Linked DNA regions of Danio rerio. The protein of the gene in region 3 interacts with the protein of the main gene of each other region in a pairwise test. Links are inferred from orthologs where the notes say so. Each region holds a gene or a part of one and is shown on either strand. Other genes may lie near its edges. The genes, in order: znf512b, slc25a46, fhl3a, gcm2, snrpg, pierce1 and lnx1.

Region 1 (3,500 bases), on a different chromosome or scaffold from region 3:
CCTCCCGAAATCTTGTTTTGAAATGAATCCTTGCGCTTAACAACAAAATTAATTATGTAGGCTAATGGATGTCTGTGTGTACAACACGTTTCCTTATCCACAAAAGAGGGTGAAAGTAAAGAATGATGAGGCTCATTCTCTCACTGCAGATGCTCTGTTTAACTGTTTTCTGGCTAGTGAAGTGTTTAGTTTTTCCATTTACACACTCAGCCATGTAAATAGCATATGCGCCATGGCAAGACACAACTGACTTTTAAAGGGAATGGGAGATCAGACTCTAATTGGTTTATTCTCAAAACACACCCATAACTCATTAAGATAATAAGCACAACCCTGTTAGACCATGCGCTGTGGCGCAGAGTGAATTTTTCCATCCTTAAAATAGCAAAAGAGGATTCTGACAAGCCCTTAATGCTTTTGTGCCCTGCACTTTGGACTTTGCGCTTAGACAGTAAAATAGAGCCCTAGAACCGTGACTCAGTGCAAGCCAACATGTATCTGTGACTCAGCATGTACATTTAATAATCTTAAAAAGTTTAATATGTATATGTAAAGGTTTAATATGTATTAATATGATAATAAACCTTACCATTTCGTTGGGGTGCAGTAAGTCTGAATGGCTGTATTTATATTTTTGTCATGTTTCGTCTGGTGCAAACAACCAAATTGCTTATAGTGTATCTCGTCACTTAGCCTGTTGTTAGGACAGGGTTACAATGTAACCCGCTCACCTAATGTTTACTTTCATAATATTTATCTTATTTGCTAATTATGAAACACCTCATGTGGAACTCTGAATCTGCGTCTCAATCTGCTACTCTTCACCAGAGGTCACATTTTGGTCACAGATGAATACTTTGAGTGCTGTTCAATTCGTAATGCACATTTTAAAAGTAGAATATCTTTGACTTTAGCATTGTTTTTCAGATAAACGAGAATTATCACTTAGCATATTTCTGAAATACCTGCATATAATATATGATATTTTCATGCTTTAGAAGAGTCAAAAACTTACAGCACCTTTAACATAGTGACTCAAACTGTCATAACATTGTCTGTCAAAATACTAAAAGACTTTTCCAACATGAATTCTGTCAAGATTAGAAAAATATCATGTAAAGGATTTACAATGACACTTGACACCACCCACTGGCTTAATAAAAGGTTTATTTTGACTATGCTAACACAAGATCTGATTGCTAAATGTTTTTCACAGGAAGATAATGTTTTTAAGTATGTATACAAAAACCTTTATTTTTCTGTGTGATCTGTCTGAATAAAGAATATTTGAATATTGTCACCAGGAGAATACTGTCATCTGTACAAGGAACATTTCAAAAGCCCAAAGAAAAAAAGTTCTGTTTTTAGTAAATTCTTGTTAGGCATAAATATTCTAAAAACAACATTTGCTGTCAAATTATTGACATCTCCAATAGTAAACTAAAGTTTACTTAAATCTTGAAAGTAATTAGAAATTGAAATTTTAAAGTTAGTAGGTCCAACATCACTTTACCCTTTTAATATCAGGAACAAGGTCATCTTTGATTCTTCGTTTGGTGCCCCAGTCTTTGGCCAGCTCATCCTCTGCAATCTCCTGCAGGTGAAATACAGCCACCTGAGCAGAGCGCCGTCTCACCCGGCCACTCGGCGTCCTCTCCAAATCCAGCAGGTCCTCCACTTCCCCTTTCTCTTCCTTCCTCTCCTGCATCTTCTCCACCTGCTCACCTTCGCTCTGCCTTTCCTGCTCTATGCTCTTCTTCAGCACAGGCTCTTCCTCCTCCTGTTCCTCTTCATCCTCCTCCTCCTCATCATCATCATCCTCTTCCTCCAGCACATCCTCCTCATCTTTATTGTCCTCCTGCTAAAAATGAGAAGTCAGAGCATTCAGAGGCATTTGAAATCCATTCAGATATCATCATTATATGTCTATTATTTTATATTGTTTTATGCTATTTTACAATATACTGTGTTTTGCAGATCTGTATTACATTCCTATCATGTTTTAAACTTGAAAATGGTTTGTAGACAGTGAGTTTTAGTAATAAAAAAAAGTAAAAGTAACAAAGTGATAGTAAAGTGATCACCCTAAAAAATCAATCTGTCATTATTTCACCATCAAGTGTTTCTAAACCTTTATGAGTTTCTTCTGGTGACACAAAAGTAGTAACATAAAACCACTGACTTCTGTAAAAACCAATACTATGCCAGCAGACACAGGACGTCAGATTGATAGAGTCAGAGTCCAACGTCAGGCCAACTTTAATTTCTAATGTCCAACCTAAAATCAACCAATTATCAATGTCTAATGATTTTACAGCTTGATGTAGAGTGAACGATACCAATATGATGTCTATCAGACGTTGGATTTTGGTTGCCATGCCTGACAAATAAATGTCATATTTTGACATCTGAGGCATCATATGATGATGGTTTAAGTTGTTGGCTCAACATTGGATTTTGGTCACTCTCCAATACAACCTAAAATCAACCAAATACCAACATAATTTGATGTCGATATTGGACATCAAAATAACATTGTCCTTAGACACTGGCTAGACATTACATTTTGGTCACCTGAAGTCACAACTTAAATCTAACCAAATAGAATTGAAACCAGAAGTTTAATTACACTCTAAAAAAGGAACATAACCATTTTTTTAAATGTCTGATGGTAAATCATACTAAACGTTTACTATTTTAGGTCCGTTAGGATTACCTAAATCATTTACATTTGCTAAATGCCAGAATAATGAGAGAATTTTGTTTTTAATAATTTTTTATTAAGTTCTGGACCAGTGGTCACCAAACTTGTTCCTGGAGGGCTGGTGTCCAGCAGATTTTAGCTCCAACCCTAATCAAACACACCTGAACAAGCCAATTAAGGTCTTACTAGGAATACTTGAAACATCCAGGTGGGTGTGTTGAGGCAAGTTGTAGCTAAACCCTGCAGGGACACCGGCCCTCCAGGACCGAGATTGGTGACCCCTGTTCTAGACAATCAAAAGTTTACATAATTTTTTTTGCCTTGCTTTAAACTGTATAACTTTAGTCAAAGGTTTTGGATATCCTTACAAAAGCTTCTCACAATAGTTTGAAGGAATTTTGGCCCATTCCTCCTGACAGAATTGGTGTAACGGAGTCAGGTTTGTAAGCTTGCTCGCGCAAGCTTTTTCAACTCTGCCCACACATTTTCTATAGGATTGAGATAAGGGCTTTGTGATGGCCACTCCAAAACTTTCACTCTGTTGTCCTTAAAGTAAATTTAAACTAATTTGGTAGTATGCTTAGGGTCATGGCCTGTTTGGAAGACCCATTTGAGGCCAAGTTTTAATTTCCTGGCTGATGTCTTGCGATGTTGCTCCAGTATTTCTACATAATGTTCTTTCTTCATGATGCCATCTATGCTGTAAAGTGGACCAGTCCCTCCTGCAACAAAACAGCCCCACAACATGCTGCCACCCCCATACTCCACAATTGGGATGGTGTTCTAGGCTTGTAAG
Region 2 (4,229 bases), on a different chromosome or scaffold from region 3:
CTGACATTGGCGCCGAAACACAATGCAGGGGTGGGCCAAGACATTTTCTGTGAAGAGACTAATTGAAGCCATACAATATAATTAGGAATTTGGGAACACTATTTTGCCAGTTATAATCTTATACTCAAGTATTTTTTTTCTTTGAATGAAAATCGTTGGCGATTATTTACCTTGCGAGACCAATTCCAAACCCAGCAAATCGATTCAGTTGCTCTGAAAGAAAGAGTGGAGGAGTCATTTTAGGAAAAAAACTGTCCTGCATGTCTTATGTACATATTTTGTTTAAAAACAAACATGTGTGTGCATAGAAATAAACAGATGAAATGATTGATAGAAAAACATATTCCAATAATTTTATCAATTTAATAAAAGCTATGGAGACCAAAGTATGCTCTCCTTGCCTTACTATGCAGTGAGAGAAATAAGTATTAAACATTTCAGCATTTTTCTCAGCAAACATATTTCTAAAGGTGCTGTTGATTTGAAATTTTAATAGAAACCAAAAAAATCCATAAATGCAAAGAAAGCAAATCTAATTAGTTTACAAATGATGTCTAATAAAATGAAATGATGCAGTGAAAAAGTATTGAACACATGAAGAAAGGGAGGTGTAAAAAGGCAGTGAAAGCCCAGACAGCAGCTGAAATCTCTCAGTAGTTTTTTAGCAACCCTCTGCCCATCCTCATTGTAAATTAATAACCGCTGCTTCAGACAACATCTACATTATCAGGATGATGAAGATGAAACCAGAGTGGACATTTCAGCAAGACAATGATCCCCAACACAGCCAAGGAAACTCAAATGGTTTCAGAGAAAGAAAATCAAGCTACTAGAATGGCCCAGTCAATCACCTCACTTGAACCCATAAGAAAATATGAAATAAAGATCAGATTTGATAGGGGAGACCCACAGAACCATCGAGATTTTTTTACACTTTTTTTTTTGAAGTCTATTAAAAAATAAAAATCACATCTTTGCAATGCATGTGACTTCATTCTCTATATGAGATCCATCTGCCATGACCAAAAAAGCCCTTTATTTAAAGTATTAAATACATTTCAGTACATAAAAGTATAGAAAGTATTCAGTATTTTCTCCCTGTGCTCTTCCATTATTATTACACAGAAAAAGTTTCCAATTAGTTTAATTTTTTTTTTTTTTCATGTTTGTATTGTTTGGGTTTTTACCAAAATCTGGTTTAATTCCTTGTCAACCGCTTCTTTAGAAATCGATTATTTCACTCACTGTATATACATACATACATACATACATGTTTATATGTAATTTTTGTCACTTTCATTCATTTAATCTGGAACTATACTGAACATTATTTATATATATATATATATATATATATATATATATATATATATATATATATATATATATATATATATATATATATATATCCTTCTGCCTGGTTATAATAATATTGGCTAAAAATTTTCTTTTGAAATAATTTTTTGTGTATTAAAATCAATGTAAAATAGGTCTAGGTGACACATTAATGACAACCTTTTTTACTAAGCAAATGCATTGTTTATGATTCTGTGTCTTCAGTGTGGAATCGCTTAAAACAATGGTACACTGCTTAATTTAGATTACTGTGCGAGATATTAAGCTACCTTACAAAACATTCATTGAAATACTGTAGTTATAACTATCTTGATTAAATAATACAAAGTATCATTAGGTTATGCATATGCCTGTCACAACAATCGTTTTATCAACTTATCACACAATACATGGACTTGATCGCAATCATTTTTAGTGATGCAATAAACATTGCCCGTACAGAAAATCCATTCTATTAACATTTTAGCTGAATGAGCAACATTTCTATCTGTATTGGAGATGTCAGTATACCATAGTATACACTGTAGAATTTACTGTAAATTAATTTAGTATGTTTTCATATGGGTGTCTGACTAATAAATATATATCTTGTAGCAGATATCGCAGCCTCGGTTATATTTTATTATTATTATTTATTTGTTTAGGATACTCGTTTAACATTCTGATTCCAATGCCACATTATTAAATGGTAAAAATGACATATATAATCAAATGAAATATTCTTAAGAATAAAATATGATGTGTTCTTCGGAAGAGCGTACTTGCATTGTAATGCTATTATATTTTTATGCTGGCATTATATAAGTGGCTTAAAATGACAATAATATTGTTTATTGCAATATATTTTGGTTTAATATAACGTACAACAATAATAGATAACGTGGCAGGTCTAGTTATGTAGTATTTCTGTTGTAGGGGGTAATTAAAACACTCTTTTTGTCTTTTTACCTCACAAACAATTCTCTTAGAGGAGAGATTCACAATCCATTCATGGATCAAATGATGGGCGGGGAGTGACAGTGACAACACACACATCATATGCGCAATAAGCATGTTTAAGGCCATGTCTTATATACAGAAGATAATTGTAATAATAACATCTCACTGAATGCACACTGATCATCAAATTCATAAACTGTACTCAATGTTACCGGACGGTGGAGCCGCTGATTGAGCCTCGTCCGGTGCGGTCTCAAACTGGGGTGTGCGATCGTCAAAATGCAGGTTTCTGCTTCCAGGTATGTCTGGAGGTGTGGTGACCCAGTTCTGGAGGTCAGAGCTGGATGAATTATTGAATGACCTGCCCGAATAGCCCCCGCTGAATGCCGGGTCCTCCCTGCCCCTGTAACCCAAACCCTCAAAGCTGTCAGGCCGACGAGAAGTCATGCTGTAAATCGCCAAAGCAACTACAACGAAACGACAAGATATTTTAGTCTGACGTTCTGCGACTTCTAGCCTATGTGATGCGGGACGAGTTCATTGAAGAATATAGCAATTAAAATGGGAAATGAGAGAAATAATTGCCAATTGACCGACGCAATGAACAAGGCTAGCACTTTAGCAAAACAACATTACACTCGTTCGGGTGACTTTTGTCGAGTGACAGTTTACTTCCGGTTTGAATGCAGCCTTTTGGGTAATGTAGTATTGCAAAGATGCAATAGTTACGAGGGGGAAATCGTTAATTATTGTTAAGTATTCATTTTATTATTAAAAGAAGAAAGTATGCTTTGGAAAATACAAGGAAGGTAAAAAGGTGAAAAGAGGTAGATTTGGGATCCATATGTTATAATAAAACAATACAATATAAACACATTTTATAGCATTTTATAGTTTGATTGTACTATAATTATACCGTTTAAACTTTTAAAATGTCTTGTTTTATGTTTGTGCTTTTACAAATAGATGCTTTAGCATTGTTGATTTTATTTGGAGTTTTAGCCTAACTTGTCTCTTTTTTACCAATTCTAGAGGTTAATTAATTATTTCTTTAAATATAATTTTTTGGGAAGAGCATATCATATATATTTTAATGAGCGTAATTTAAATTATGCTTTTAGAAATAAATCTGCGGTTCCATTTGTGGATTTTTTTGAGCCTTCTGCACAATTGTTTTAAGTGTAATCGATTATTTTTTTTAAATATTCATTTTTAGAAAACATATCTTGCATATTTTGTGCGTCATTTAAATAAAAGTTAATTATCCTTTTATGATTTTACAAAATATTTGTGTGTGTGCGTTTAATTGTTTTTAATACATCCGGGCAGGCGCAAATGGAGGTGAGGGCGCCCTCTGTTGATGAAGATATCAGTACATCAGTTTGAGCTTGAGATGCAGCAGAAGCAGCATCCGCTCAGGAGCCGCGGGGCCTGCGGTAGGATCATGGTTTTACATATAAAAACATAAAATGTCGATAATGACAAGCTGATATACGATAGTTCAAATGCTGTAGAAACACACACCTGCGTGTGTTAGTACGTTAAAACGTAAATAAGGATATCTGTATCGTCTTAAAAAGTTGTTTACTTGCAGTAGCATCTGCTGGATAGCTTGCAAGCTACGTTACACGATGTTTAGTTTTATCCAAGTAAATCTTCGCTTTGTTATTATTCCAGATCGTTTCATGCATTTGTTATTATTTGTTGCGCCACAGTTAACGATTTTAACGTTAAACATATATCTGGTCAGCTTTGTCGTTTTGTATTTGCTGATGTGACATTGAGGCTGATCTGGACTGAAGGGGACATTATTAATAGAGCTTTTTGTCAGGTTGTTGATCTCACTTTGTGCTTCACAGGTCCTATCGTTTTTCAGAATAAGCGACAAAAAGTATACCATCTTTCAGTAGATTATCGTAAATATATATATTTAA
Region 3 (3,500 bases):
CACAGAGTGTTTGGAACAATTCTAAATGGGATGTTCGGTCACTTTAACAGAACACCAAACCTTTGACCTTTGGGTGTTTCTGAAGGAATCTGTTTGAGTTCTTTTACAGGCTGCAAACACAGACTACATCCACCCATTAATGACTACTACCAGCTTAATAACAGTTCTGACTGGCCGGCAAAAATAAAGAAGGCGATAACTAGTAGGCAGATCAGATATTTTTATCTGTGCATCGAGGCCTGTACATTAATGGAGTGTTGATACTGGATTGTGCGGTGGATTTGAACTCAGCGTTGCATAGGAAGCATCAAGTCTTGTTTGTCCAGTTGTAAACCAGCAAGTGTATGTTGAGGGTTGTGATGATTGTGCGAGGGGTAGATTGCTGGTTTGCTGTTATGTTAAATAGCAGTATCAGCATGGGCGTTACTTGAAATGGGTAGTTCTTGGGTGAGGGCACAGCAGTGTATAATAGTGTGTGTGTGTGCATGTGTAAAGGAAGGTAAGGCATGTGCATGAGGGTTGTATTCTATAGGGTGCTGTTGCAGTTGCGACAGAGGATCTCATCTTGCTCGGGGAAGAAGCCTGCTCCCACCAGAGAGACAGAGCATCGAGAGCAGGTGAAGCACGGCTGGTGCCATTGCCGGTCCTCAAACGAGATGTACTTTCCCCCGCCAAAACCTAAAGAGAGATTTAAACCGGGTTAGTTCTCAGGAATCAAGATGCATGATAGGAACTAACAGTGACATAAAGATTTTTGTATCACAACTTATTTGTCAACATTCCATCTCCATTAATGAAACAAACTAAATGCAATTGGCTCTGATAACACTATACACCAGCTGCTGATGCTGTGTAATGATGTTGATGTCTGTCAGCTTAGAACTCATGGTTCCTAGTGAGGGTGCAAAAGAAACCAGGAATATTTGCCCTAGATGGAACATGTAGTTCTTGAGGGACACCATGGTGACTAGTTCCAGTTCCTGTAACTGTTTTCCTGGTTGCATTTTAACTAGGAACTTAAAATTGATGTAAGCTAGCTGACTGCAACTTCAAGTGTGGCACTAACATAAATTCAAGAACTGGAGGTTGGAGGATCAGCCATGATCAGAGGTGTGTTTTTGTTGTCTGTTGTGTATACTGTACTTAAGAAACTTTTACTGAAGTGGAAAATGATTTAGCCCCAGCAAAGGGCATTTAGATAACTAAAACCATGTAAAGTTCCTGCAAACTCACAAAGTCTGTATCCATATAGATATCTGATAAATGGAAATGTGTGCAAATTACAGATGAGATGCAAGTTCATATCTGTATTTCACATATAAAATAAATATTAAAATATTGCAAAAATGGCTATTTATTCACGTTTTTAACCGTTGATTTGTTGTTGTTTTAACAGGCATGACAAATATGTACATGTATGTTAAAATATGGCGGTCTCCAAAATTAAACCAAGAATAGACTTGTGCTGAGTCCACCAGTCTCATTAGTTAAGGTTAATATTAAATTGAACTAATTAATAAATGACTATAAAAACTATATGTTTATTAGACTGTTGCACTATTTTTGTTGTCAATAGGCCTATTGTGTGCACAACGTTTATATATTTATAACCACCTCTAAGGAGTCTGGGGGTTGCGAGTCACTGGCATTGTTATTTTAGGGGTCGAAGGCTGAAAAGTTTGGGAACTCCTGCTTTAAATGACGCCGGTGCATCTCTGATGTATTGTCTACTCGCCATAACTGGGTGTAATACAGCTAAAGCAGTAAACTGCTGCAGTTTAATTAATTCAGATCTTTTGTATATTTAGATAAATCAATAATGAGAAAATTAAGGCCCTTAAAAGCTATTAAAAAGTCTTTATGATGTTTCTACAAGGTCTTACATTTTGTTTAAAAGTTGACCAAAGTGTTTGACTCCAATAAAAAAAGCAAAAATATATTTATTTTTTTCCTAATATTAAAAATCAGTGTGCTCGATCCACACAATTGGTTCAAGCTTCTCCGTCAGGGGGATTTCACATAGTTTGCGACAAACGCGAGAAGGTGATTTGACGCTCTCCACATGTACACAACCTCTACATGTACACGTCACACAACCATAGAGCGAAACAGATGGGAAAATGTAAGTTTGCGTACTCCTGGTTGGAGAAAGATGAGTTTAAACAGTGGCTGAAGCCTGTTGCTGAAAACAATCGCGTAATTTATTCTTTCAAGCTTTGATTCTTCTGAGCTTATCTGAGTTCTGTTGCATGGGTGTCCTTCATTGATTTATTTAACTACAGCTGTTGAATGTTAAGTTCAACATTTAATATTAAAGTATAATAACATTCCAATTATATTATTTTTATTAATATTACATATATTTTATGTGAAATGTGCAACCCAAAAATGAACTTGTATGTCATATATTTAATTTGCAAATATTTCCATATACAATATCAGATTTCTATATGGGATACTTCTGCAATTAGTTCCTTCTAGGAATTATGAAAACATTTCTCCTGTGCAAAAGCTTCTTACAGTACCAGAACTATGTGAAAACCCCCTTTTGTATTTTTTTTTTTCAAGTGTTGTGGGAGCACTAGTCCACCATCAGTTTTTGAAACAAAGTGACACTACTGCATCATTTACCTGTAATTGGTTTATTGCAGGCTTCACACTTCTTAGCATACAGATTTCCGAAGCATTTGATGCAGTATGGGCTGTCATCACGAGAGGTGAAGTGCTGGCCAGCTAGCTGGACTTTACAGCTTGTGCACACAAAGCACTCCTTATGCCACGGCTCATCCCTATAGGTCACACCACCTTTAGCCAAGGCCTGAAGTGGAGAAGATGGAAAAGTAACATTTAAACTTTCATTAAATTGATTAGCATTAAAAAAACAACACCTTTAAATTCACTTTAATGGACTACCACTTGTACTTTATACGTTTAGACAAAAATGTAGCTTTTATTGAGCAGCCACAAAGAATTTGAGACATCAGTTTTGAGACTTTGAGACAATCTTGAGACTTAAAATATCTTTTCATACATTCTAGATTCGTTTTCTAATTAGTTTTGGGTAAAATCAAAACTAACTGTTTCCAGATTTAAAAAAAAATCTCTTGTGTTTCACATGCAAATAGCAAGAGATAAATGATTGTTTTTTTAAAACAATAGAGCCAAGAGTCCAAACAGATGGTGGCCTGTCAAGACAGGATGTGAAATTGACAGGCAGAGTTAATCAGTGACCAGCACGGCGTCTGATATTCAACAGGAAGAAGAAATGAGGTCAGAATTTGGACTTTTTTTGTGGAGGAATGAGTGCATGAACTGATTCGAAACACATGGTTACTTATTTTAAAGCTGATGAAATCTCTCTCACCACTGACCTGTTTACATCGAGTACAGCGTGGTGCGAACTTGTTCTCATAGCAGGGTACGCAATAGTGGTCATCTTTATCTGGGATGAAGGACTTGGAGCCTATTGGCTGTTGACAGCTGTTGCAAATGAAACAGCC
Region 4 (4,214 bases), on a different chromosome or scaffold from region 3:
ACACTGTTTTATTTTTTGTACAAATTACAGTTACACTAAAATACATGATATATAAGTTTGCTTAGTATGGAACTATGAAGTTGTTTTAATGTCTTAACTAACAATAATGCATTGGAAATACAGGAATTATAGTTGTAACAAATTATAATAAAAATATAATAATCATTATTATTACTGACTATTGTTATTTTCATTATTATGTGCTGATCTATACCTATTATATTAGCATATACTTTGTGTATTTACAATTAACTTTAAGTACTACAGAATATAGCCACAGTTTTACCTCTGGCTCCACCAGTCTTCTCTTCTGCGAAAAGGGTGGTGAAGACATCCTTCTTTTTACCGCACTCCTTCTTGCCTCTGTTTCAGACTTGCTCTCTGGTCTGGGATGGTCATGTACTCCTTTAGCCTAAAACAGACATCCAGCATATAGGGAATTGAACATCTATCAATGGCATGATATTCATACTTCATAACTATTTAAATATTTAACTCTTTGTAAATCTAAAACATATTCTTGTTGTATGGGGATATAATTCTGTGCAATTTAGGATAAATTTAACAGGTTTTAATTTACCAGAACTTAACTTTAAGTTAAGTTTTCTCTCTCTCTCTCTCTCTCTCTCTCTCTCTCTCTCTCTCTCTCTCTCTCTCTCTCTCTCTCTCCCTCTCTCTTTCTCTCTCTCTCAGTAAACACAAACACACATACAGTTGGTCAAAATTATTAGCTCTTCTGAATTATTACCCCATTATGTTTTCCCCAACTTATAACAAAAAGATTTTGTAACACATTTCTAAACATAATAATTTTAATAAGTAAATTCTAATAGCTGATTTTTTTTAATCTTTGCCATGATGACAGTACATGATATTTTGCTTGATATTTATTTAGGATACTTTTATTCACCTTAAAGTGCAATTCAAATGCGAAACTGGATCGCTTTTCGATAAACAATTGAAAAAATATTGCTTAATATGGCTAATAATGCTGACCTAAAATGGCTTAAAAAAATTAAAACTTTTCCAAATTATCTCCTCCAGCTCTCCTGCATTTCTAATCGTAATAAATATTCTATTATTTTTAAGAAAATAAACCAAATTAATATGATGATGAGGATGATGTTGATGATAATAATAATAATAATAATAATAATAATAATAATAATAATAACAACAACAAATGTCTTCGAAGCCAGCCTCACCTGGAAAAATATAGCCTTCCCATCTACTCTCCAAAAGTTCGTAACAGGATAACCACTGTGACCTCGGCACGGAATCAATTCAAGAGCTGAGTTACAGTTCGGACAAAGCTTTTCTGCAAAGACAAGACATACAGTATTAAGTTAAGCTACATTACATTTCAGTTAAGCTTTTTATCATGCATGCATACATACATATGTAAAATTGCTGTTTTGCGGAAAATGTCATGTCCATCAAAATGATTAACAAGTCATAAGTGTTCCTCGGCTGAGTCATGAATGAGCGGATCAAATTCAAAGAATGAACATTTGGTGACCTAATGTGGGTATGTAATTTGGCTAGAGTATATTAAATACTCTCGTGGTAAATTTCTAAGTTCTCTTAACTGACATTTCTGCGTAAAAGTCTGTTTCCAAAAAGAGTTAACATATTACAACCATTTATGAATTTCTGTGGTACGGCTGATAATTTTAAACTAAACTATTTGTGCCTAGCTTTTCCTCAGTAAAAAAAAAAATGCACAAAACGCGAAGTGATTTGAAGTGACAGTGATCTGAATTACTGTTGTGTTAAACAGAAACTCAAAATTGCTAAAGCCTTCAAGAAAAAAACACACACACACATGAGGCTTTTTTTTTTCCAACTAAGTGTTTTAATAGCTATATATATGTCCTTTCCTATCAGACTTCCTAACGCGATTAACTCATTTGGTAATGCGTATTTGGTGGCGGGGAAATTCTGAACATACTCTGCTGTTTCTGTCGCGCTTTGTCACAGATGGCTGGTCTCAGCTGAAGTTTGGATCCGTCTGGAAGAGAGCAGTTTCGTGAGCACACCACCACACCAAGACAAGACTTTTTCAGGATCTGACAGTTATGGTTGTTCGTGTTTCTCATGGCCCATCCGCTCAGGTGTCTTTGCGCATTCTTATCTTCACTACTGTAGATGTAACGCACATAACCATCTGTCCACTCCTGAAAAGCATCATACTGCTTCGTGTCCTGAAAACAACAGTATTATTATATTAACATCAGGCCTATTATCAAACTGTACCATTCCCTTTTTAGCTTAGTGAATAAAAGTTTACTCTGGAAAAATAATTAAATATTTTAATAAATATGAAAATAATTTTAATAAATAAAATTCATTAAAAATGCATGAAATAAAAGCAAAACATTTACCTGTGGAAGCTTGGGGTCGTTTATATCCCAAGTCAACTTCATCCCGAATGAACACACGCAGTCTGAGCTGTCAAACTGATCTGAGGATTTGGACATGATTTGAGTCAACTCCGGATGATAACAACCATTTAAAAAATCAGTTTCAAGGCAAAATTCAGCTCGGTATCTAGATCAATTTACTAAATGGATCGTACATCTCACGTCCTTGGGAGCTTTACTTCCAGAGTCTTTTTTTCTCTCTTGTAAAATCCACGTTATGCGAGTCCGTACAGGTGCGCTTCACACAGGTAATGGTCTCAGGTAAATACTGCTGTGTCTATGTAAAGAAGAAGGCTGGGCTTACACACGCACACACAACCTCAAATACTTCTTTCACTTTACGTAATCCGTGCGTTTCACCGCCAATAACGAACGAGTCCCTTCGCAACAAAACCAAAAAGCTTTGACTTGATGGCTGAAGCAGTAGTTTTTGTTATATAGATTTTTCTTACATGTCTCAGATTTTATCTCCGCGTTTACAGTTTAAAAGGAAAATGACAGCCTCTTTTAAAGGTGAACCCGACGGTGTGGTATTTCACGCGTTGTCAGCGAAATTTATGCAGGACACTTTCACTGGGACTGAGCCGAAGCTGATGGTCACAGAACAGGACTGGTCCAGTTAGTGAGGTAATGTGATCTACTGCAGGTCATTAGTTGTTGTGTGTAAACGAAAAGCCGCAGTGCTGACAAAACACGGACTTGTCGTTAACACAACAAACACTATACGCGGCTCATCAACAAGCACCTTTTCTATGTATCTATTGGCGATCATTGATGTCATTGATTGAAAATGTCAAGTAATGATTTCAGGTGATACATTCACCCGGGGGCGAACTTCAAATGAATGCAACTGTTTGCTCCTGCTTGTAACAGAAATTTGTAGCGTTAATCTTCTTCTTAATGTTCATCATCATCATCATCTTTATTATAATTATTATTATTTTTATTATTATTATTATCATTATTATTATTATTATTATTGGGCTAATTTAATAGAAGTAGTATTATATGACTATTATTATTATTATTATTATTACTAATATTATTATTTGTTAAGCAAAATTAATTTTAAGATCATTGCAATTAAATTAAATAGGTAATGAATGGCCTACTCCCGTAAGTCGCCTTCATATATTTAATTTTAAATATTTCAAAATATAGGCCTAGCAGTAGACTGTAAAATATAATCAAATTTGAACGTAGCTTGGATAGCAAGAGAAACTCCAGCATCTCCGATTGACGTGTAAGAAAATGAACTATGCAAGAATACACGAGGTTTGCTTTAATTAAATGTGCCGTTTCCTTTGTCTGGGCCAAATGCAAACTGTCTCTGTACACTGTTTTGTCAGTTACACGCCGTTTTGTTAGTTTCAATAAAATGATTTAGTGCAAGGAAGTATCAAGGCATAAATCTAATGATGACTGAAATTATTACTTAAGTTAATATCGGCATTTTGTAAATAATATAGAGCATAATGTTACAAAATGCCTTATTTCCCCAGCGATAATTTGTCAGCTATAGCTGTACTATTAATATCTAATAAAAATGTATTATATATATATATATATATATATATATATATATATATATATATATATATATATATATATATATAAGTCATACAATAATATGTATAGCCTATATAATAATATTAACTGATCACACTTTGAAACTCCTGACGCTTAGGATTGCATGTTTTTGTATTTTTAAAAAGTTCTTATTAAATTAAATGTAACTTTTTTCGTAATATTGATTTGTTCCTTCTGATTTTTATTTCTATTTTGTCATTG
Region 5 (4,174 bases), on a different chromosome or scaffold from region 3:
GAATTCGGCAGATGCAATGCTGTTGTAATGTTGTTTGTGAATGTTATGTCGATGCTCCAGATTAAAGAAAAGAAACGAATTATCACCCTGGTAACCAGCGTTTATTTACGATGCCCACGTTGGAGAGAATGGTCTGTAAACAGCCAGAAATAAGGGTTACAATAACATGCCCGCTCACTTTTGCCAAGGCACTTACAAAAATACATTTCTTCTGATGCCATCTATCTAAAATGAACATTTACAAGCACAAAGACGTGGAATCGATCTATTGTAAAAGGTACTTTGTAAATAAGCATTTGCTATCAGTTCAGAGTCCCTTCTTCCGCTACGATCAGTGGTGAATTAGTCTTGTCTGGTTCTGTTCATTGTTGATTGGGTGAGAGCAGCTCAAGCTTACTGGCTGTGGAAATCAGCGGGCGTGGCTCATTATACTTCAGGAAAGCGCCGTTTATAACGCGCGTTTCAGTGGGGTTAAAACGGCGTTTTAAACGGCGTTTTGTGGCAAGCGGATCGCGTCATAAACCGCGCTTTTCACTAACACTAAAACGGCGTTAAAAACGGCGTTTTTTACAGGTTTACGCGCGTTATTTGCGGCGTTTGCAATCAGAACGGCGTTTTTAGCGGCGTTTGAAATGGTATTAGCGCCGTTTAATGCGGCGTTTTAATTGTAAACGCGATTGATTAATAGTGTTTTTATGAGCTCTTGGGCTTGCCATAAGATGATGATGTGCGCGCGCGGGACTTGTTTTCTCGCGCTGGATCAGTTGAGCGCGCGCGTGAAGATCCCCTGTGCGCTTGCAGCTGTAGTTTTCTCGCGTGTCTGTAATCTGCTCACGGTTCACTTCTCCTCGCGCGCAAACATCACCGCTGCGCTCGATTTATATTGGCATTGATTTGCCGACATAAGACGAGTCGGACATGATATTTAAGATCCCACATGAAATTTAAGACCTCCTTATGGAAAATTACAGAATTCAAGACATTTTCAGACCTTAAAAATCGAAAATTTTATTTAAGACATTTTAAGACTTTTTAAGGACCCGCGGGGACCCTGTAAAATACATCATTGAACGTTTTTATTGAAATAATATTAATATATATTAGAGCTGCACAATATATCACTTCTTGAGCAATGATATTGAAATGTGTGCATCTGCATTAGTTACATCGCAAGATAGGCGATAGTTAGGATTATAGATGACCACCAGAAACCACTAGTCAAAACACACAAGATTTGTGGAGACACTGCAGAATTTAAGCACAATAGAGTGAAAGTTTATCATCACTTTAAGGCATGTGGCTGAGCATTTGAAGAGAGTTTAAAACATTAGTAGTGCATGAAAATGTTTAATAAAGATTAATTTTATTAAAATTTGTGTATGGTGAAGACTACACAGTGCTATTTTACATTTGATTATTCGATTTCAGTACCTGAATCAGGGTTTCTGCAGGTTATACAGTTAAATTTAATTGTTTATAAAACCTTTATTAATTACATTTTAGACCCATAAAGTGCTAAAAGCTAAGGAATTTTTCAAATAGCCCTGATGGAAAAGATTTTTATTTGCCCTATCAAAAACATTATTATATTTTAATACATTTAATAATACAATAATAATAAAAAAATATATATATTTCCGATTTTATTTCTTAGCAAAATATTGTGTAAAAACAAGCAAGCTCTAATTGTATCTATACACTTTTTTCCTCAACATAAACTTTCTTTAAAATAAAAAAAAGAACAAATATTTTAAAACTTTTAAAAACTACAATAAACTAAATCTATGCACAACAATCTCTCCTGTTCAGTGTCCTCAGTAGTAAATACATGGAGAACTTTTAAACACATGTTATTGTATGGAAAATAATTAAACCATTATGGTAAATAGATTAAAAATTACCTTTTTAAATAAAAAGTTTAAGGTTTTGTTGAGAGGATTGTTGGTGATTGTATGGGTGTTAATGGCCAGACTGGGTAGCAACACATGACTTTAAAAAAAAAAAAAAAGAATCAAGACCTACACAATACAATATTTCAGTCAAATTAATACTTTTTAATGGCCAAATTTTGGATTTTGACATTTAAGACACTGTGGAAACCCAACTGAGTACTGTTAGACTCTCAAGAAACCCATTAAGGACGGTTTATTTCACTTTAATAATTACGTTACCCAATTGTGTGTGTGACTAGTTTGTATAAGAAACTACATTAAAATGTATATTTAAATTTCACTCCCCTACAAAACCACTTTTCAAATATTTAATTACTTAATTACAAAAAAGAAAATATCGCAATGTATAGTTTTTTCAATATCGTGCAGCCCTAATATTGAGCTATAATTCATATTTTAACTGGAAAGAGAAACATCTAACGTTATTAAAAGATTACTCACGTGAAAGCTTCTTGTCCATAAACCTAAGAGGGGAAAAGGCACTTTCTTAATTCACAATAGATACACCACCAAACTGAAAGCTAACTCATATAAAATATATCAAAATGGATTAGCAATATAAGTTATGCTTGATGTGAAAATAAAGTAATTTAGCCGTTAAACTGAACACACACCGGCTAACGTTAATAAGTTGCCCATGTTAAATACTTCTTAATATCAAATTTCTAAAAAACTCAAGAAAATACTTGAAATACTTACTTTTTCAGCTCGGGTGGATGTGCTTTGCTCATGTTTATTTAGTGAGATATGCTAGTTTTGTCAAACAAATACGTTTGAATCACGTTTCAAGCGTTGTTCGGAGAATGAGTGAAATGCAGGAAGTGACGTTTTGGGTCGCGGGATTTTTCCCTTGTACTAGCACCATTGAGTAATATTGCCCTCTACTCCGGCGGATGATGAACTACAACAACAACAACATATCGACAAGGTCGCTGGTTCGAGTCTCGGACTCTCGGCTGGGTCAGTTGACATTTCTCTGAGGAATTTGCAAGTTCTCCCCGTGTTCGAGTGGGTGTCCTCCGGTTTCCCTCACAGTCCGAAGACATGTGCTATAGGTGAACTGAATAAACTAAATTGTCTATAGTGTATGAGTGTTTCCCAGTACTGGGTTGCAGCTGGAAGGGCATCTGCTGTGTAAAGCATATGTTGTATAAGTTGGTGGTTCATTCTGCTGTGGCGACCCCTGATGAATAAAGGGACTAAGCCAAAAAGAAAATGAATGAATATTATACAGGCCCATAGCCAGCCTGGTAAAAGGGGTGGTTCTTTTTTCTAAGTAAGTTTACCTTTTTGCAGGTATTTGCCTCATTTTCTATTTAATTATTAGATATACTGCATTTTAGTGATATTTTAAGCACTATCTTTAGCTGAATTAACCTGTCGAATAGTCATCATAACCACAATTTTGATGAATCAAAATATTTCCTAAAATTTTGGAATAAAGAAAAATAAATAAATACATATTTTTAAAAAACAAATGTTACAGCCAATATTAATTAAAAAAAAGGAATCTATTAATGTTTAAATTAAAAACTGTAGCCTATTATAGCGACATTTATTGGGCAAACAACAACTTGGCCAGCTCATTCAACTGTCCTCAGTTAGAATTTGCCCATTTGAATACATATTATTATTAATAATCAAAGGTTCAAAACTGATAAGCTGAAGTCACACCGCAGCAACAGCCAACAGAGGATTACAATTGGTTTTAAGACCCTTTTTGCTTAGTTATTTTTACAATTTATGAAGCATAGCAATTATAATGAGACAAACAAGCTCATATATGGAACAAATGTTGGACCTTTGTTAGTGAGGGGTAGGTCTTTCGAACCCCTCAAAGCCTATTGAGGTAAAGTTAATTTTTATATTCGCACATTCACACTTTCTCCTTAATAATATAATTTCAGAGAAGTATTCACTGCAAATTCTAAATAGTGAAATCATATTAGCAGCCATCAACCATCAAAGTGCAACATTGTTGACAGTCAATTTAATATTGGTAATGTTGCTTTAAAGTCATATTTACATCTGATTTCAGTCCGAAAATTCAAAGTACCACGGTAAACAATATATGGAGCTGTCACTGAACGAATGTGCGAACTTTACCTTAATCCAACCCAACCCCCCGGCTTAGGGCCTGTTATAAATCCAAAACTTACAAGAATATTTTAACCAATTTATTCAAAAATAATTTCAACGTACATAGTAACATGAGGTAAATT
Region 6 (4,130 bases), on a different chromosome or scaffold from region 3:
GAATGGAAATTGATTCTATCATAAAACACAGACGTTTCGTTGGGTCTGGAGAGTCGACTCTTGTCCAGCATGGTGTTGAAGCCGTTGTCTCTGTACATGCCACTTTTTAGTAGATGCTCCGAAAACCTGTGTCGACTTCCGTTAAAGGATGTCTGGAAAAATGAAGCAGATTTGTAAGTACTCTTGTGTGTATTATCCTATTCATTTATATTGTGTGCCGCTTACTCACAGGCATTTCGTGAACTGTTGGTTTTTTGCTTCCATATGCTTGGTTTGTTGTTCGGTACAGTGGATTGGTTGTTTTGTGACTGAAATATACAATGAAGATCATTAGAATACACATATATTGTATTTTATAGTAATGAAGAGCATTTAGAAATTCTCAGTTTCTCTGGATTTACAATTCATAGTTAAGTTTACAATTTATAGTTCAGTAAAATGCTTGTTTTGATTTCAAACTCATTTAGCGATGAGTCTGAGTTGTTCTTTAATTCAAACTCATTTAGAGTATAAACTGACAATTGGTCAAAATAACAATTATATTCTATGTTTAAATAACTTGATATGGCAACACTTTACATTTAACATGAACTAAGAATGAACAATAAATTACCTAAAAAAAAACTTGTCGATCCCAGTTGAAAGAGCAACAAATAATAACTTGACTTCTACAGTAGATATTCATTTGGAAAAGTGACAGAAGGTAGATTTTTCTGATGAATCATCTGTTGAACTGCATCCCAATCATCACAAATGCTGCAGAAGACCTATTAGAACCTGCATGGTATGCAAGAGATCTGCAGAGTGCAAGGCAACATCAACAGCCTGAGGCATCAAGATATTTGTCCTGACCATAACCATACAAACCACAGGAGAGAGCAAATACTCCTTCTCATACTTCAGCCTCCATATCAAAGTTCCTGAAAGCAAAGAAGGTCAAGGTGCTCCATGATTGGCCAGCCCAGTCACCAGACATGAACGTTACTGAGCATGTCTGGGGTAAGATGGAGGAGGCATTGAAGGTAAATCCAAAGAATCTTGATGAACTCTGGGAGTCCTGCAAGAACGCTGTTTTTGCCATTCCAGATGACTTTATCAATAAGTTACCTGAGTCTTCGCAGAGATGTATGGATGCAGTCCTCCAAGCTCATGAGAGTCATACACAATTTTAATTATTTTTCCATGACTTTATATTCTGTACTCTACATTATTTTTGTTAAGTGACAAGAATTTTGTCTAAGCAAAGTCAATTCTTACTGTCCTAATTAAATAATTAAAAATCACGATCATTTATTTATTTTGCGTTTCATATAAGCCACTTCTGATACCAAATGATCAACTAGAAGTCAAGTTATTATTTGTTGTTCCTAAAACTTGGATAGGCGACAAGACTTTCGTCAAGTAGTGTACTTGTCTTGTACAGCTTTTATTAATCATAGTTTAGAATTTACTAATGCATTATTAAACTCTAGAGTTGTGTAAAGAACTAATTAACAACTTTTTCTTTTGCCAACAGAAGTGAACAAATACTGTTATATTGGTCATTTTTAATTCATGTAAGTAAATATGATTAACATGAACTAATTGAATCATTTTGTAAAGTGTTATATAAAAAACAATATTATACCTTCAGAAGAAAACTACATTTAATGGAATAATCCTGATTTTCAACCACAACAAATGAATACATGTCTGAAGTGTAATTTCGTCAAAAAATGTGTTATCAGACATTAATACAGGGTTATACGGTCATGGAAAACTTGGAAAAGTCATGGAACTTTGACATGACATTTTCCAGGCCTGGAAAAGTTTTGGAAAATTGATATTTATTTTGGGTTAATTGTCTTTACTTTTCTGTCCTTGGCCAATCACATACTCTCACATTATTAGTGCGTGTAAGCATATTCTAAATAAATTTTACATAGATATAAATATATATTCAAACTGAATAGATTGTTGCGTGCATTGTTTTTCTTTTACTACGCATACTGTATGTATGTAGACATTGCATGAAACATTAGGTGATGAAAATTTACCTGAAAGTCTTGGAAAAATCGTGGAAAAGTTATAGAATTTTAGTGGTAAAAATTTGTATGAACCCTGTTTATAGACTAAATATATATATATATATATATATATATATATATATATATATATATATATATATATATATATATATATATATATTTACTGAAACTCTTAAGTTACTTGGAAAATAAACATCCTAAGAAATTCAAAATTTTCAAGGATCCCTGTTATTTATAGCTTGTTGTATTATTGTCCGTTCTTATTTAATTTTATTCCATAATGCAACTGAGAAGAAATAAGTAAAACTATTTATCGCTTTAATCGAGATACACACATAAAGGACCTGAACCGGAAGCGATGCAACCTGTTTAACAAACTATGGCTAATTACTGCGTTAACGCCTCAAACAACTAATAAACTATTTAAAAACATCCAAGCAAGCAGGTGTTAAAAGTTCACTCTTGAAGAATATTCAACTAAAGTGCTAAAAACGTCAAGTATATTGACTTCAACTTCCGCACTTTGGACACATCAAGGCTGGCTCTTCTTACCTGTATCTGAAACAATCCGGGTTATTAAAGCGAGACGGTAAGTTTTTGTCAACTTTGTACACATCGCTTGTCTTTATTTCAGATGTATTAGAATCTCCAGGCCCTGCGGTCTCTTCTTTCGCTGAATAATCGTTCTTTATTTCGTTTGTGCTCATGTTTGTGTTGAGGCATTATCCGTGTGGTTGCTATAAACACTGTAACCAGGTGACGTAATGTGACCCTGGTAAGTTAAGTGTTGTCTTTTCTCAAAAAATTTCTCATAAGTAATAATTAAAAATTTAGCTTTAAAAAAGAAATAAATACACTCTATGGAGAAAAAAGTAAGAGATATTTGGATTTACTGTGGTATTATTAGATATGTCAATTATTCAAATAAAGTAACATTACAATGAGAATCGTTTAGATGTTGTTATTTGTTGTGATTGACGATAACATTTCGTGGTAATTATAATTAGTAAATATTCCTAACTCTTGTGTAGTTAAAACATTAGTATTTGTCTTAATCCTTATATAAATAACCAAGAACATGCCACCTTTTTATTTTATGCAGAAAAAAGCTCTAACATTGATGTTTTTATATTAAATTTGTAGGAGATGTTATCAGTAGTTTGCAGAGTAAAACAAAATGATGTTTTACTCAAAAGACAACTATAAATCATAAAACCAAAGAGAAAATTACTTAAAGCTATATAAGTAAATTTCACATTTCTAATGACCAGGGGTGCAAAATAACTAATTACAAAAACTCAAATGACTGTAATTGAGTCGTTTTTCTCAGGAATCGTATTTACTACATAGGTTTAAAAATATGTACGTTTACTTTCCTTTGAGTAAATTTTTAGTGCTGTATCTATACTTTATCTCCATTAATTTCCTTCAACCTGCAGGCACAACTTTATTTATTTTTATTTTGTATTTTTTTTTGTCGATTAGAAAAATCAGTCATGTGATTCCTGTCCAATCAAATCGCAAATAGAAGGTAAATCACATCATAATGAACTTACTCAAGACATGGGCACCTTATAATTGCAGCAAACAGTTTGGAAGCATTAAAAGTGTCCAACAAGATCCAAAATCTTTACACGCATTAACCCAGATACAGTTTTTTTGTATGTCACTGATGACAAGATGACGATTGTTTACTATATGATGACCGAAATGGCCTTAAACACTCAGCAGGTAGAAGATGTCAACATGACATCAAATTGACGTTGTATACTAACTATGGGGGTCGTTGCGTTTTGTTTGGAAATGAAGTTCGGGTTGATATCAATGTCCAACGTCCATATCAACGTCTAATAAAGTTACAGCTTGACGTTGTGTGAACATTACCACTATGCCGTCAGTATGATGTCAGTATCTGACGGCAATATGACGTTGGTTTAAGATGTTGGCTTGACGTTGGATTTTGGTCACTTTCCAACATAACCTAACATCTACAGAATATCAATGTCATTTGACATCGTTATGGTCATCAAAGTAACATTGTCGTTAGATGCAGACTAGACATTGAATTTTGGTCACCTGACATCACAACCTAAATCTAACATA
Region 7 (3,500 bases), on a different chromosome or scaffold from region 3:
CATAACCAATTCCAAAAGCCTGAGTTTCATGTAGTACTGTCAAACAATTATTTAGGATTAATCACAATTAGGCTTTGGATGATAACCGTTTTCAAGGTATATCGTGGTTTGGAAAAGTCAAGGTTTTAAAACCGCCAACGTCTTCTGCCATATCATTCCTATGGTATTTGTAAGATGATTTTTTTATTTTTTTTATTATAATTTTCTGTTTGTTTTTAGGGCAATAGTATCTCCAGCAGAAAAGATATAAAAAATTAATCAATGGTAAATAAATCTGTTATTTTTTTTAAACTAATGAAGACAGAATCAGTCAATGATTCATTTGAATTACTTAGGCTGACATGTTTACTGCTCCAAAATATTTTAAGTGTTTCTCAAAAGAAAATATATTGTGTTCAAAGGGGTAAAAGTTTTAGTTTTTTACCCAGACATTTAAAAAGAACATAATTTAGAGCACAATACCTTGGAAGCATTTTTTATATAAGGTTATCATACCTTCAGAATCTTATATCAGCCAATGCCTAATCACAATTAAAATTGAAGGTTGCATTTACCTGATATAAGTGTTTGTAGTTTGTATAAGCTTTATGTAAGATAGGATGTACATCTAGCTGGTTGTTAGCATACATATTTTAATTTTAAGTATGATTAATTGCATAAATTAGCACACTATTGAAAGGCCACATTTTAAATGTTAATTTTATTTAGTGTTATTTTTATTCATTCATTCATTAACATGCATGGGATTAATAGCAAGAAACACACTACTGAAAGATCAAATTTTAAATGTTAATTTTATTTAGCGTTATTTTTATTCATCCGTTCATTAGCATAGACTAGAACATCTAGACATAAAATTCTGTCCATGTCCACATCTCCATCTAAACAGCTAACACACCAATTACTGCATATTTTTAAAACCAGTAATCCAGTACTCTTATATGCAACAATAGAATGTTTACTTTATAAATACACATTATTTTATTTATAGTGTCCTTACAGTACATTTTACATATGCCATTATATCTAGATCTACGTTGTTTTATTGTTTTTAAAATATATTTTAAATTCTTATTTTTATTAATCTAACTTATTCCAATGCACTCACTCATTTTCCTTCATCTTAGTGTCTGATTTATTAGGGACTACCACAGTGGAATGAACCGCCAGTTGACTTATTCAAATGTTTTTCTAGTGTTCTTGTGTTATATATCTATGTATACAAAGTTCCTGGAACCCACAATGAATTCCTTGCATGTTTGTACAGACTTGGAATATAAAGCTGGTTCTAATGTTGATTCTGGGAATGCTGCATATCTGCTTTTTTTAGGCTTATGGGACATTAACATAATCACAGCTTAAATGTAAATATAAGAGCATCTCTGCTTATTTTATATAACATGATCAAATTAAAAATGAAAGCAAAAGGCATTAAAATGTCTACATGCAGAATCCTAACACGTTGCTCCTCTGAACAACAGATGGTGACAACATGTGCTATCAAAACCGGGGTGATTTGCTCCTACTGTACATTGACGTAATCTCAGCTCTAGCACACATACGCACCTTAAGAATCATATCTCCAGGTAGTAGTCTTCCATCCCGAGCGATGACCCCCTCGCGGTAGATGTCTTGTATGAGGATGCGTACTAGAGGGGTCTCATTGCCACCAACAATACTGATTGCCAGTGGTTCACAAGGATCTGCCCTGGTGATCTTAATACTGGTGACCTCACCATCAGGGATTAGATGATGCAGCTGAGGTAATGCGAATACTGAAACAGAGAGAGAGAGAGAGAGTTTGTGTAATCAGTGAACTGAACTCCCACATGATCATCACTTTCAGTGCTACACAAACAGGGCATCTGTCCAGAGTAAAGCCAGGCCAAGCATGACTGCAGGACTTAAAAAAGCATTACAGTGGTCTGTTGGTGGATGCAAGGCTGGCAGAGACTTTATATGAATGCATTAAGATAAATCTTACAATTAAAGGGGTGAGTTTTAAGTAAAATTAAACTTTTTTCCACAGACAAATGTGCATACTGTAGCGCTGATCAAAAATCTGGAGCTAATATGTTATTTTTTATAATAGTAATTCGTTGTTTTATTTAAAAGTAGTTGTTGTGTTGATTAAAACTGACAGGGAAAAATGTATGTCTAATAATAACAAATGTAATTTATTCAACTTTTCATTTGTCAAACCATTTTCTTTTTTCAAGGAACTACACAATTGTTAAGAGTGCCTGTTAAGAGGATTTTTGTAATGATGCTGACTATTTGAAAATAAGAAATAAACCAGCAATTAATTTGATTTAAGCATATTTTTCCAATATTGAAACTCGCAATTTTAAATTGCAATAATATTTCATAAAAACTTATTTCACCAGTTGGATAATTTTTACTGACCAGCTTTGGCGGTATAACAATTACCAGCAATCTAGGGACTGCAAATCGCTCGAGAACTACAAGCACCATATTAATGAACTACACAGCAAATTCATCAGAGTTAAATTCTCGGTGTTGAAGCATTTCAGAGTAAAGTGTTGACGTTAAAGAGTTAAATTTTGATAAATGAATATAATAAGAGTTAAAATTGATTTTATTCAGTGCGAAATCAAAGAGTTATCTTTTCAATACTTGGTGGTGTTATTTCCAACATCCGGGAATTCATGCAGCCCCAGTCACTGAAGAATTTTCCAGACGCCATTTTCCATCTGAGGTTTAGAACAGCAACTGGTGAGTCAAACTACCTAAATGTTGGTATTTTACTGACTTTCTTTAAGGAAATACAGTTGTAAACATATTGTTAAGTTAATAATTTTAGAATGGAGTGACAATTTTAAACTTCTGCGGTTCATTCATGGTCGTTTGTGTATAGCTTAACTGCATTACTATTCACTTCTTTTCAAGAATGTTTTTTATATATGCTCACGCATACATAGTGCATAAAAACATCAAATGTACATGTTAAACACATTTATGTCACGCTTAATGCTATTTTGTGCGTTGTTACCCATCTGTAAAATAAAATCGACACTTCTCCTTTAATTCAAAGCAAACTAGCGAGGGAATCCCCGGAGCAGCCTAGCCTACTCTGCCTGGATGCTAACGGCAACACAGGACGGTTTCCATGAGCTCTGGAGTTTCTAAAACATATCTGGTGAGTAAATGAACATGCTTACTTGTAAAAGGCTTCCTGACTGAAACATATGATTGTTTGTTATTCGTGTACGTTAATTTGGTTATTTTAAACACCGCAGCCCTTTTAAACTGGTTCATTCGTGGCTGTCCAAATAACGTTAGTCCATAGACTCGTGTGATAACGTAACAGTTACGCTTGAATTATATTAAGTGTTGACTTCCATTAAAGTCGGAATGTTAACATTAATGTCTTTAAATGACCGCGTTTGCACTTTATCAGACATTTGACGTTACAGAAGTCTCCCGGAAGTTGCGGGACTAACGTTAACGTTATCCCGCAAATGCACAGAGACTCCCAG

Evidence for each region.
Region 1: the proteins of fhl3a (region 3) and znf512b interact in binary tests that used the Homo sapiens proteins (3 or more experiments, as listed by UniProt). The two-hybrid records come from large-scale screens. The link is inferred for Danio rerio from reciprocal best matches to the Homo sapiens genes FHL3 and ZNF512B.
Region 2: the proteins of fhl3a (region 3) and slc25a46 interact in binary tests that used the Homo sapiens proteins (3 or more experiments, as listed by UniProt). The two-hybrid records come from large-scale screens. The link is inferred for Danio rerio from reciprocal best matches to the Homo sapiens genes FHL3 and SLC25A46.
Region 4: the proteins of fhl3a (region 3) and gcm2 interact in binary tests that used the Homo sapiens proteins (3 or more experiments, as listed by UniProt). The link is inferred for Danio rerio from reciprocal best matches to the Homo sapiens genes FHL3 and GCM2.
Region 5: the proteins of fhl3a (region 3) and snrpg interact in binary tests that used the Homo sapiens proteins (3 or more experiments, as listed by UniProt). The two-hybrid records come from large-scale screens. The link is inferred for Danio rerio from reciprocal best matches to the Homo sapiens genes FHL3 and SNRPG.
Region 6: the proteins of fhl3a (region 3) and pierce1 interact in binary tests that used the Homo sapiens proteins (3 or more experiments, as listed by UniProt). The two-hybrid records come from large-scale screens. The link is inferred for Danio rerio from reciprocal best matches to the Homo sapiens genes FHL3 and PIERCE1.
Region 7: the proteins of fhl3a (region 3) and lnx1 interact in a two-hybrid assay, tested with the Homo sapiens proteins (2 studies listed by BioGRID and IntAct). The link is inferred for Danio rerio from reciprocal best matches to the Homo sapiens genes FHL3 and LNX1.

Annotation. Positions count from the first base shown.
Region 1 is NC_133198.1:15,038,402-15,041,901, reverse strand, and holds part of znf512b (zinc finger protein 512B), read right to left. Parts: intron 1,862-3,500; coding exon 1,514-1,861; intron 1-1,513. UniProt on the Homo sapiens protein: Involved in transcriptional regulation by repressing gene expression. Associates with the nucleosome remodeling and histone deacetylase (NuRD) complex, which promotes transcriptional repression by histone deacetylation and nucleosome remodeling.
Region 2 is NC_133180.1:61,260,243-61,264,471, forward strand, and holds the start of slc25a46 (mitochondrial outer membrane protein SLC25A46), read right to left. Parts: upstream 2,801-4,229; 5' UTR 2,743-2,800; coding exon 2,508-2,742; intron 214-2,507; coding exon 171-213; intron 59-170; coding exon 1-58. UniProt on the Homo sapiens protein: Transmembrane protein of the mitochondrial outer membrane that controls mitochondrial organization.
Region 3 is NC_133191.1:36,956,211-36,959,710, reverse strand, and holds part of fhl3a (four and a half LIM domains protein 3), read right to left. Parts: coding exon 3,372-3,500; intron 2,819-3,371; coding exon 2,632-2,818; intron 679-2,631; coding exon 527-678; 3' UTR 1-526. UniProt on the Homo sapiens protein: Recruited by SOX15 to FOXK1 promoters where it acts as a transcriptional coactivator of FOXK1.
Region 4 is NC_133199.1:9,178,011-9,182,224, forward strand, and holds the start of gcm2 (chorion-specific transcription factor GCMb), read right to left. Parts: upstream 2,801-4,214; 5' UTR 2,481-2,800; coding exon 2,385-2,480; intron 2,205-2,384; coding exon 1,952-2,204; intron 1,319-1,951; coding exon 1,206-1,318; intron 413-1,205; coding exon 287-412; intron 1-286. UniProt on the Homo sapiens protein: Transcription factor that binds specific sequences on gene promoters and activate their transcription. Through the regulation of gene transcription, may play a role in parathyroid gland development.
Region 5 is NC_133198.1:36,914,893-36,919,066, reverse strand, and holds the start of snrpg (small nuclear ribonucleoprotein G), read right to left. Parts: upstream 2,801-4,174; 5' UTR 2,684-2,800; coding exon 2,652-2,683; intron 2,417-2,651; coding exon 2,394-2,416; intron 1-2,393. UniProt on the Homo sapiens protein: Plays a role in pre-mRNA splicing as a core component of the spliceosomal U1, U2, U4 and U5 small nuclear ribonucleoproteins (snRNPs), the building blocks of the spliceosome.
Region 6 is NC_133183.1:13,120,194-13,124,323, forward strand, and holds the start of pierce1 (piercer of microtubule wall 2 protein), read right to left. Parts: upstream 2,801-4,130; 5' UTR 2,735-2,800; coding exon 2,580-2,734; intron 309-2,579; coding exon 230-308; intron 153-229; coding exon 1-152. UniProt on the Homo sapiens protein: Microtubule inner protein involved in the attachment of outer dynein arms (ODAs) to dynein-decorated doublet microtubules (DMTs) in cilia axoneme, which is required for motile cilia beating.
Region 7 is NC_133195.1:25,268,640-25,272,139, reverse strand, and holds part of lnx1 (E3 ubiquitin-protein ligase LNX), read right to left. Parts: intron 1,776-3,500; coding exon 1,567-1,775; intron 1-1,566.